3 linked regions of the Danio rerio genome follow. The protein of the gene in region 3 purifies or fractionates together with the protein of the main gene of each other region. This does not show direct contact. Links are inferred from orthologs where the notes say so. Each region holds a gene or a part of one and is shown on either strand. Other genes may lie near its edges.

Region 1 (3,519 bases), on a different chromosome or scaffold from region 3:
TGCAATATCACACTCATAGCAGTGTGATATGGCTGTATATCGTCACTGGTGGGACGCTAAGGCATTCTGCCTATGGCCTCATGCCAACACACCCCTCCCACCACTGCCGATATACATCCATATCACACTGCTATGAGTGTGATATTGCACATATATACAGTTGGGGTCAAACTGATTTGCCCTCCTGTGAATTTGTTAAAAAATATTTCCCAAATGATGATTAACAGAGCAAGGAAATTTTCACAGTATTTCCTATAATATTTTTTCTTCTGGAGAAAGTCTTATTTGTTTTATTTCGGCTAAAATAAAAGCAGCTTTAAATTTTTTAAACCATTTTAAGGTCAAAATTATTAGCCCCTTTAAGCTATATTTATTTTTGATAGTCTACAGAACAAACCAATATTATACAATAACTTGCCTAATTACCCTAACCTGCCTAGTTAACCTAACCAACCTAGTTAAGCCTATTATTCAAAATAAATATTATTCACTGTCATCATGGCAGATTAAAGAAATCCGTTACTAGAAATAAGTTATTAAACTATTTAACTTAGCTCCATTAGAATAAATTTACAGGAGGGCTAATATTTCAGAAGGGTTAATCATTCTTACTTCAGTATATAACTATAACAATGTCTATTATTAAAGTTCTGACCATTCTTGATGTCGTCCGGTCTGATGCCGCTAACCGCCGTTCGGTAGTCCGTAACCTTCTCTGTGGGTTTGACGTATTTGTCATAGATACATTTCCCGAAGTGGTTGACGAGGGAGACTCGGGCTAAAATACTGTCCTCTCCCTTATATCCAACACCCACCATCTCGCAGTCCATCGCAACCGCACGAGTCACTCTAAAAACCACAAAATAAATCATTGAGTGACATCACTTCCTGTTAGCAATGACAGGAGCAAGTGTGGTCATGTTCACATACCCCTCAAACGCATGCTCTTTCACCAGCATCTTCTCTGTGTTTTTTGGATCGCACTTCGCTAATCCGCAGCGTTTCCGCATGATGTCCGCAGCTTCTGTCCCTAAAGCGGACTCGATGTCATCGGGGTCCACGTCGTCAAACCAGAGGTCCGGCCTGAGGGAAAACAGGGGGTTACATATAAAAAAAGATGTAGGATGGAAGTTGGTTATCAACAACGAAGCTTTTTTTTCTTGCAAATGCATTGGCTATTTTCCGATTTTTCCCCTTGAACTCTGTGTTTATATGGAGAGAGAGTTGAGAGTTTAGAATTTATTGCCATGTCAGCATCTCTGGCTATTTTATGGCAAAACCAGATCAATTTGACAATATTTTATAAATATAAGTTGAGTTTATCTCTCACTTCTTGACTTTAGACCAGGGGTCATTAAACTTGTTCCTGGAGGTCCAGTGTCCGGCAGATTTTAGCTCCAACCCTAATCAAATACACCTGAACACGCTAATCAAGCTCATACTAGGTAAACTTGAAACACCCAGGCAGGTGTGATGAGGCAAGTTAGAGCTAAAGCCAGCAGGGACACTGGCCCTCTAGGACCAAGATTGGTGACCCCAGCTATAGGTCATTCAGCTTTTTTCAGTGTATTTATTTAGATTAAACATTAGATATTTAATTTATTAATGTAGATTTTTCTAGTTATTTTGTTTATTTTTTGCAATAGCTTTTTAGCTTGCTCCACATATTTTCTATCTGATCTCATAATTCATACCTCTAATCATATCTTCTCTAGAGTTCATATCTCTAATTTTGACTTTAGCTTTAGTGTTTTTATTTTTGCCATGGAACAAAGTGTAAACAAAATAAATAAACAAATGCAACACTTTGCTTCACAATTCTGACATTTATATTAGAATTGCAAGTTTATTTCACACAACTCAGATTTTTTTTCTTCTTTTAGTTATTTTATATATTACACTTCCAATCTACTGGAAATTTTGGATTTTTGATAGTATATTGTGACTTTTTACAGAAATGAGTTTACATTATATATATAATTTTGACTTTAGCTCAAACTTTTTTTTCGTTCTTTTCTTCTTTTTCCCTCACCTTTATAATTTCTTAGAAATGCAGCTATATTTCTCAGATTTTAGATTTTCTTCCTTTAAATTGTTTAATTATCTAAAAAAGTGCATTTATTCCAATACAGTTTTTTTGTTGGCATAACTGATAAAAAAAAATCAAAAAAATGTGGATTTTTCACAAAATTTTGGACTTTTGAGAGTCTAAATCTCTAATTTTGACTTCAACTTGAAAATTCTTCTGTCCGGCAACATAAAAAAAACTTTTCCCATTATATTTTTTTTCTTGCCTTTCGAAATTAACATCTTGCAATCCTGTTTTTTTTTCTCCGCCACAGAATGGAGTTGTTTATAGAAGGTTATACATATATAGAAGGTTTACCCCCCTTTTTTTCTGTTTTAAGCATTTCCCAAATGATGTTTAACAGAGCAAGAAAATTTTCACAGTATGTCTGATATTTTTTCTTCTGTAGAAAGTCTTTTTTGCTTTATTTTGACTAGAAAAAAAGTTGTTCAAAGTTTTATGAACCATTTTAAGGTCAAAATTATTTATCTAGTCAAATATTATTTACTGTCATCATGGCAAAGACAAAACAAATCAGTTATTAGAAATGAGTTATTAAAACTATTATGTTTAGAAATGTGTTGATAAAAATCTTCTCTCCGTTAAACAGAAATTAGGGATAAAATAAACGGTGGGGGAATAATTTAGGGGGGCTAATAATTCTGACTTCAACTGTATACACACACACACACACACACACACACACACACACACACACACACACACACACACAAACACAAACACACATTTCTGACTTCACTTCTGTGTTTTCTCCAAACACAATAAATAAAAAAATTATAACAATTAATATAATAAAGCTGTTTAAATCTCACAATTTATGATTTTTATTCTTAAAACTATTATAACTAATAAAAATATTAAATTAAAGAAATATTTGTCTATAAATCATACAAGAAAATGAATGTAATCCGTCTTGTAATATCATAAACTGCAGGGGCGGACTGGCCATCTGGCAATTCTGGCAAATGCCAGAAGGGCTGGACCATTTTTTTTTAAATGTGGGCCGGTATGCTATTTTTTATTACATTTTTTTTTAATAAGTATTCATTTTACATACAGGCAGTTTTTGTTTCTTGCAAGAGGTGAATATTATGATAAAGATGATGATAATGATGATGATAATAGTAATAATAATAATAAATGTTAAGCATTGGCCCAATCGGTAATGGCCAGCTGGTTTCGAGATGGGCCCACCCAATCAGAGGTTACGCATGACATAATCAAAATCTGGCAAGAATGTCAAACAAACATTAGGTGCAACACAAGCTAATTGTCAGAGATGGACCGTGAAAAAAGGAAAGGCGGTGTCAAAAAGCTCAGAGAAACTTAAAAATTGCTCTAAAATCAGACGCTGCCAAATGCATAAAATTAACTGAAATAGTCTCAAAAGGGGGCAGCACAATGGGTAGCACTGCCGCCTCACAGCAAAA
Region 2 (3,519 bases), on a different chromosome or scaffold from region 3:
CTTGCCGAACATGATCTTGTCATAGAGGTATTTCTCTTTCTTCTTCATCATCATAATGGCCAGTCTCTTCTCCTCTGCTTTCTCCTCCTCTGCTGCTCTCGCACGGTTCTCAGCTTTGGCTTTACCAGGAGTCACCTTTACTGAGAGGCTCTGAGGGACAACCACAACAAATTGAATTTGATAAAAAAAAAAAAATTCCTAAATTAAGTTAGCAAAAGTGATTTTACATACATACAAAGCATACTAAGACTACTACTAAGTGACTACTTCAATGATTCTAAACATTTTGTGGAAAAAAAAATAAGGGTGATTTAAGGTTCAGTCCATCATTCAGCCTTACATATGTAAAAACGAAAATACATATTTAATCTGAATGGTACTCATTTTACATGTGCTCATACTTAATGTTTTAAATAAATCAAGTTCATTTGAATAGTGCTTTTCACAATAATTATTGTGAAAAGCAGCTTTAAAAAAGGTGCACATTATTGTATCAGAATCCACATCAGAAAAAGTTATTAGTCAACAACTTTATTAGTTGCTAATTACTTCAACTAACTACTCACTAGTAGCTTTTAGCAGTTAAAGTCAATATATATATATAATCAGTGTTTTGAAGGATAGTGATAAAGTACAAAGTTTTAAAATAACAAATTAAGATTTTGGAGCAGCACTGTGATGTATAATAACAAAATATATATTTTTGAAGATTTTTTAAAATATTTCTTTACACTAAATATTCACAAAATGATTTTTAAGAAAAGGCAAGGCAATTAATTCGGGTTTTGACATTTTTTACTCTACACACTTAAAGGTTCTTAATGGAGTATATACACACAGACTTTTAATTTCAGCCAGCCAGCGCACTTCTGGTGAACTGTCCTTACATAATAAAATTGTCACTTTTTCTTCAAAAATCAGTGATATTCACTGCCTGATAGATATACAATACAAAGGGGGTCTCAGACCGGACAAGAAGCACTGTATAAAATTCCATTTCCCCCTGCAATGTCTTTAAGATATGAACATTTATTTTATCCCAGTTTTTTCAACTGTGTTTCTGCTCTCCCCTGCTGATCCTAACGGCGCTATCGGTTACACAGTCTTGCATCTTGTTTTTTGCTTGAGCAACTAAATGAATGCTTAAGTTTATTTAACTGAGAGTGTTGTAATCACATCACAACATTCATGCTGTAAAAGGAACCATATGAAATAAAATAAAAAGTAACATTAAGCCTTCACCAGAAGTTTATCATTGGCTGAAAAACACTAGCTGTGCATATAATCCATTAGCGTTGATAGTTCCACAAATAACCTTTAATCCTTTAATCTCCAGGAACTTTCTGATTCCACAAACAGGTACTGGACAATCAAAAAGGCTTTAGATTAAGTAATTGATTTTCAAACTACAGTTTTGTTAGGAACTGGATATGGTTCTATTGTGGCATCACTGTTAAAACCCTGTTTTGGCTGTTTCTGCCATCTTTATGTGTAAAGGTATACAAGTGCTGGTAACTGCTAATTTACATTTTGCAAATGACCATCGAGATATAAATCTTCTTTAATTGATCTACTTAAGAATAAGTCACCTCTTGGATGGCCTGAAGGCGAATAAATAAGCATTCACTTTTAACAGATGTGATGCAACAGCCTTAAATATTTTACTGTGTGCAATTTCTGTAAAACTGAAGTCAACAAGCAGAACTGCAAAAATATTCTACGTGCAAAATCAAGAGCATCCAAAACCAAGGGGCAATCTCCCGCTCTCCCTCCTCAAGTAAACACGCAAGTAACTGAAACTGCTATTCATCAAAAATTCACTAGGCCTGGCTCCAAAAGAGCTAATTTCTATTGAGCCCAATGTTAGAATGGCCAACTTTACAGCAAAAAAAAAAAAAAAAAAAAAAAAAAAAAAAAAAAAAAAAGTTTAAAGCCTGGTACAAAAAACAATTTTGATGTATATAGCTAATAATATCACTGTTCATGACAACTGTAAGGGGGGTGATTTTTTTTATAACTCATCCTTTTTTCTTTATTTTTTTTTCTTTTGCGTTATATTAAGTCTGCATAATTACGGGTGTGGCCACTTGAGTGACAGCTAGGTATCGCTGGTCGCAGTCACTTCACCTCAGCTGATTCCAGCTGATTAGCTGCTGAACTCGTTTTGTTTTATGTGGCTTTACAAAGTCAAATGCTATTCAAGTGGCCTCCATTTCCCTTGTTAGTGAAATTGTTTACTTGTATTTCATATCTATAAATGTATTTATTTTATTTAAGATTTATTTATCATTCATAATTTTCTCTAGAATTGTAAAGCACTCTTGAACCTGACAGATTGATTAGCTGTATGCTGTAGAACAGTCATCTGAAACATTGTCAAACAGTGTTCTGCCTGGATTTCATATATAGCCTTGCATTTACTAACACAGACTATATTTGACGTATTTGTAAGTAATTTACATTTTCCTCCTGTAGAAAAACATCATAAGAACAATACTTAGTGGCTCAATGTAATACAACAGTGTTTTTAAAAGACTAAACACTTTATTGATATAGTATACAACCAAGCACGTGGTCAGAACACAAACGAATTGCAGGTAATAAAGTCCTAAGCGTTTCTCCCAAAAAACCCCCTATCTGAGCAAAGGTCTAGACACATTTGTAGCTCCACCTTTTTGCCCATTTTTGGTTACCCCCGGTCAGTGCGATGACATGCAAAAAAAAACATGGCACCAGTTGGCCATGCCCACTTATAGCTTCATTTGCGCGCTTCAAAACCTATGGGTGACGTAATCGATACTACGTCCATATTTTTTTTTACAGTTTCTACTAACCTTTCCCTGAGATCTCTTCTCCTCCATTTCAGCTAGATTTGCTTCTTCTTCTGCTTCCTCTTCATCCTCACTCTGCTCATCGTCCTCTTCGTCTTCTTCATCATCCTCTTCTTCTTCTCCCTCCTCTTCCTCGTCTTCTTCTGCTTCTGTTAAGAGATTGATGGTAAATTTAACAATCGTTCGACACTCACAAATCAAAACAGTAGAGATGCACGATCGACTGGCCAGGGACTAGAATCAGTTTCCTTGCTTGATTGATCAAACCAGTAACCAGCCGGTCTTAAAGCTGATTCCAACTGATCTGTTGTTAGCCACAGTGCAGATTGTGACATCACAGAGCCGTCAAACTTTTTCTGTAGTTGCCATCCACCTATAATTTGTTTATTTGAAAAATTTCCTAAAATTGCTTAATAGAAACACAAAGATGCACATAATTTTGAAAATGTGCAATAAAAAATGTGCACATAACTGAATAGATTAAACCAGAGAAGCCCAAAGTATGACCTGCGGGCTAAAGTTGGCCCTATGTAATCTTCGATTTGGCCCACCATCCCGTCTAAAAAAAGAGGGAGAATGATGGGGAGGGGTTGGGGCGAATGCCTTTGACAGTGATCGTCATTTCCAATTCAACAAAACCTTTTGCTTCTTTGTTTTTTTACTGAGCTACTAAAACTAAACTAAAAAA
Region 3 (4,124 bases):
GAATCCTAAAACATGTCAGCAACTTGTTAAAAAATGTTAGCAATGTGCAAGAACACGCTAAAGATTTTAGAAACACTAAACTTGCTAGCAACAAGTTACAGGGTGATTAATATGCCAACTTGCAAAACATGATATTCAATTCATGTTTATTTCTATAGCGCTTTTACAGTGTAGATTATGTCAAAGCAGCTTAACATAGAAGTTCTCGTCAATTGAAACTATGTGAGTCCAGTTTTCAGAGTTGAAGTTCAGTTTAGTTCAGTTCAGTGTCGATTAATTTTCACTGCTGAAAGTCCAAACAATGAAGAGAAAATCTCTTGATGCACAGCTCCACAAGTCCCAAACCAAGCAAGCAAACATATATCAATATCGTAGCACCTTGTTAAAACTGTAAAAACACAGTTTTTGTTAATGACATGATGTAAACATATCATAACATACTTATAAACAGGCTGGCTGGCGGTAATGGTAGTAATATGGTACAACATATTAACATCTATCTCTCCTGCTAATAAAATATAAAACCTTAAAATTTTAAGCTGTAAAACTGCTTGTAAATTCATTCATTCTCTGCTTTGTCCCTTTATTAATCTGGGGTCACCACAGTGGAATGAACCACCAACTTATCCAGCATATGTTTAATGCAGCGGATGCCCTTACAGCTGCAACCCATCACTGGGAAACACCCTCACACTCTCATTCACACACGTACACAATGGTCAATTTAGCCTACCCAATTCACCTATAGCGCATGTCTGATTGTAGAGGAAACCGACACGAACACGGGAAGAACATGCGAACTCCACGCAGACTTGCCAACTGACCCAGCCAAGACTCCAGCAACCATCTTGCTGTCAGGCGATTGTAATACCCACTGTGCCACCGTGAAACCTTTTAAACTTTGAGCTTTAAAATAGCTTCAAACCTATTGGTCAGGCTTTTTCAACACAACGTTTAAGTTTGTCTTGAGGAAATAGTTTTTTTTTGTTTGTTTTTGTTAAGTTATTTAGGAAAATCTGCACTAATAGTGTAGGCTATTAGTTTTCATACATGCTTAATAATGCATATTTAAATTAAGAAATGTAAGAATTGACAGCCTGCAGAAGGGAAAACTTCATTAGTTTGTCACGTAACTTCTTAAAGCTTATGTGTGAAATGTAAAGCAAATTGTCGATGAAGTAGTAATCACATGGTGATGAACGTGAGTTATCTGATATCAGTGGCAGTGAGTGAAATGTAATAGACACTCCGGAGCGAAAGGGGGCAGTATTACACAAAAAAAGGAAAAAACAAAACGTCATCTTTGTGCGACGGGAATTTGTCACAGCAAACGCGATGGCAGAACCAGGGTGCGTATTTTACTTATTTCGAATCTTAATCAATCTGTGATGAAGATCAAAACTATTATCTAGTTTTTTTCGTTTTCAGCGTCTATATAGTGTGTATAGATTGTTGGATACAAAATTTATCCGGATGACACAATGTGATGAGGGTGATTAGTTAAAGTTTGTTTTCACATGGATCGACTCTAGTCTACCTGAACTAACATGAAAGTTGTTTTTACTATTGTTTTTTTTTTGTTGTAATTTTACTTTAGATCTTAAAGACTGTCTGGCTGTTCTGTCATGTGTAGATGTTTACAATGGACGTACTGTCACGGAATTATTTGTAGTTTTGGAGTTCGATGGCAGGGCTCCAGATTAACATTTCAGAGCAGTGGCACCGATGCCACCAACTTAAACATATGGTGACATACGCTAATGATTTTGTGTTTGGACAGTGCTTTAAAAGAAATTAAAAAATAAGTAAACCAACACTAATAATAAATACAGAGATGCCTCAAAGATATGCGAACAGATAATTTAATCTGGGTAAATTTGGTTGTTTTCGCACATTCAGACTTTCTTTTGAATAAATTAACTTGGGAAATTTTTTTTTTTGCAGATTCAAAACAGGGAAATCATATTAGCAGGCAACAACTCTCAAATAGTGCTAATGTTGTTTTGAAGGCATACTTGCATGCGATTTCAGACCGAATATTTTAATAGGTAAACAATGTATCGATAAACATAACGAATTTGTGAATATAAAATCAACTATGTCTCAATAAACTGATTAAAACTACATCAATGATATTTCTTGATAAAATTATCTGTGGTGAGGATACTAGTCGTAGACACAAAAGTTCCTAAAGGCAATACCTAGATTTAATACTTTCCTTGCTGACATTTATTTCAATATTGAATCTCTTAAGCTTATTAATAATAATAATAGAAATAATAAGTTTTTTAAAACTCATGATAATATTTTTTTCTTAATTATTTAGGCTTTGTAAAGTTTTTGTTGTTTTGTGTGTTTTTCTTATTTTTTCTTCTTGTATTTTTTTATTCAATGCAGTGAGTGATGTTATTATTCTTCAATTTAATAAAAAAGGATACTAGTCATATTGAATGTAATGATGCTACCGTTTTATAGTCAGTTATCATGCTTTAGCTTATTTGTCGTAGCATTTGCTAACAGTTGTGAGACTTTTTTTTAATTAAAAGCAACAATAAAAATAATAGCAAAAGCTTTTATGTTCAGTGATGTATATTTTGTTGTGTTTAACAAGTAAAATCAGTAGACAGAGTGTTAATTTACAGATAAGTGTGGTTACATCACTGAGTCAACTTCTTGCTGCCCATTCCTTTAAATTAAAGAGCATTGTCTGTTGATTCTCTTTACAGGTTTTATCTTTATATTTGTCTTTAAATAAAACATTTAACCTCATCATAAACAAAATAATAGTAGATTGAAGCCATGCAGATAATGAATTGTATAAGGTCTTATAAAGTTTGTATTAAAACATTGATATCTTTTGTTCAGAACTGAGAAAGTGATCAAGCTTGTTCCTGAGAATCTTCTCAAGAAACGCAAGGCATACCAGGCTATCAAAGCCAATCAAGCTAAACTTGCTTTACAGCAGAAGAAAAGGGTAAGAATTCTTCTATGTGTTAATAGTCCAATAATTACTTCAAAAACAAACTAATAAACTAAATATTTCACCAGGTCCAAAAAGGAATCCCCTTCAAGTTTAAGCGCTTGGAGGAGTTTTTGCAAAACAGCAGGAGAAAGCATCGAGATGAGACCAGGCTCGCCAGACTCAAAAAGAGACCTCCACCACCCATGCCACCAGCCAAAAACAGCCTGGCATTCGCTGTCCGCATTAGAGAGTAATTTACACTCATGCCTCATTCACGTTGACATTGAAGCTGTTCTATTATGCTGCTACACTTTTAACTTTCTTTGGAGTTTAATATGGCTGTTTGACCATGAGAAAATGTACAAAGCACAAATTATACTACAGGTATGATTTTTCTGGACTCTCTCAAACACCTTGATTCTAGTCCAAAAGGGGAGTAATTTTCACCCTAGGCAAGCCCAGTAAGGTTACACAATCCAACGACACCTTAGACTCAAGTTACATCTTATAAAAAGAGCATAATAGGAGAACTTCAAAGAAACATTTGACCCAAAAATATAATTGCATCATAATTGACTCGCCCTTATGTTATTTCCAACAATGTTCCATGTTATTTTCACGATGCGTCATCAGTTGACCATATTGGAAAGCAAAGCGTAAACAATGCCACTGAATGAAACTTGCATATTTTGCTGATTACTGCTGTTGAAATTAGTTTTTGTCAAGTTTTGGCCTGTACTTAAGCACTGAAGAGTACTAAAGACCGACAAAAGTGAGCAAATTAAACAGAAGAGAGCTGTTTGACTAAATATTACATATTTTCACACTTACCAAGTTTTCTGTATAATCTAGCACCTTAGACTAATTTTTGTCTTAAATGCAGAACAGTATATTCAGTAATTGATTATTGTGCGATCCATGATGTTGTTTACATCTGAGCATCTACGTCATGACTGCACGTATGGGTAACTAATGAAATGATGCAAGATGCATTTTTTGTGACAATCAAAAGTTTTGTTTTAAATAACATAACAGTATGTGATGACTTAAGTTGTTTTTGGATTAACCATCCTTTAAGGTTTATTACCTTTGTTTTTATTAGGGTTTAATTTAGATTTTTCATTTATTGTAGGATCAAAGGTGTGAGCCCTAAAGTGATGAA

What was found.
Region 1: the proteins of rpl7l1 (region 3) and rexo4 purify together in Homo sapiens (affinity purification with mass spectrometry; 3 studies listed by BioGRID and IntAct, with this or other methods). This does not show direct contact. The link is inferred for Danio rerio from reciprocal best matches to the Homo sapiens genes RPL7L1 and REXO4.
Region 2: the proteins of rpl7l1 (region 3) and pes purify together in Homo sapiens (affinity purification with mass spectrometry; 4 studies listed by BioGRID and IntAct, counting the BioPlex papers as one, with this or other methods). This does not show direct contact. The link is inferred for Danio rerio from reciprocal best matches to the Homo sapiens genes RPL7L1 and PES1.

Annotation. Positions count from the first base shown.
Region 1 is NC_133196.1:7,189,047-7,192,565, reverse strand, and holds part of rexo4 (RNA exonuclease 4), read right to left. Parts: intron 1,084-3,519; coding exon 931-1,083; intron 850-930; coding exon 656-849; intron 1-655.
Region 2 is NC_133180.1:13,536,070-13,539,588, reverse strand, and holds part of pes (pescadillo), read right to left. Parts: intron 2,981-3,519; coding exon 2,835-2,980; intron 151-2,834; coding exon 1-150. UniProt on the Homo sapiens protein: Component of the PeBoW complex, which is required for maturation of 28S and 5.8S ribosomal RNAs and formation of the 60S ribosome.
Region 3 is NC_133195.1:39,945,463-39,949,586, reverse strand, and holds the start of rpl7l1 (60S ribosomal protein L7-like 1), read left to right. Parts: upstream 1-1,305; 5' UTR 1,306-1,335; coding exon 1,336-1,349; intron 1,350-2,865; coding exon 2,866-2,974; intron 2,975-3,048; coding exon 3,049-3,212; intron 3,213-4,094; coding exon 4,095-4,124.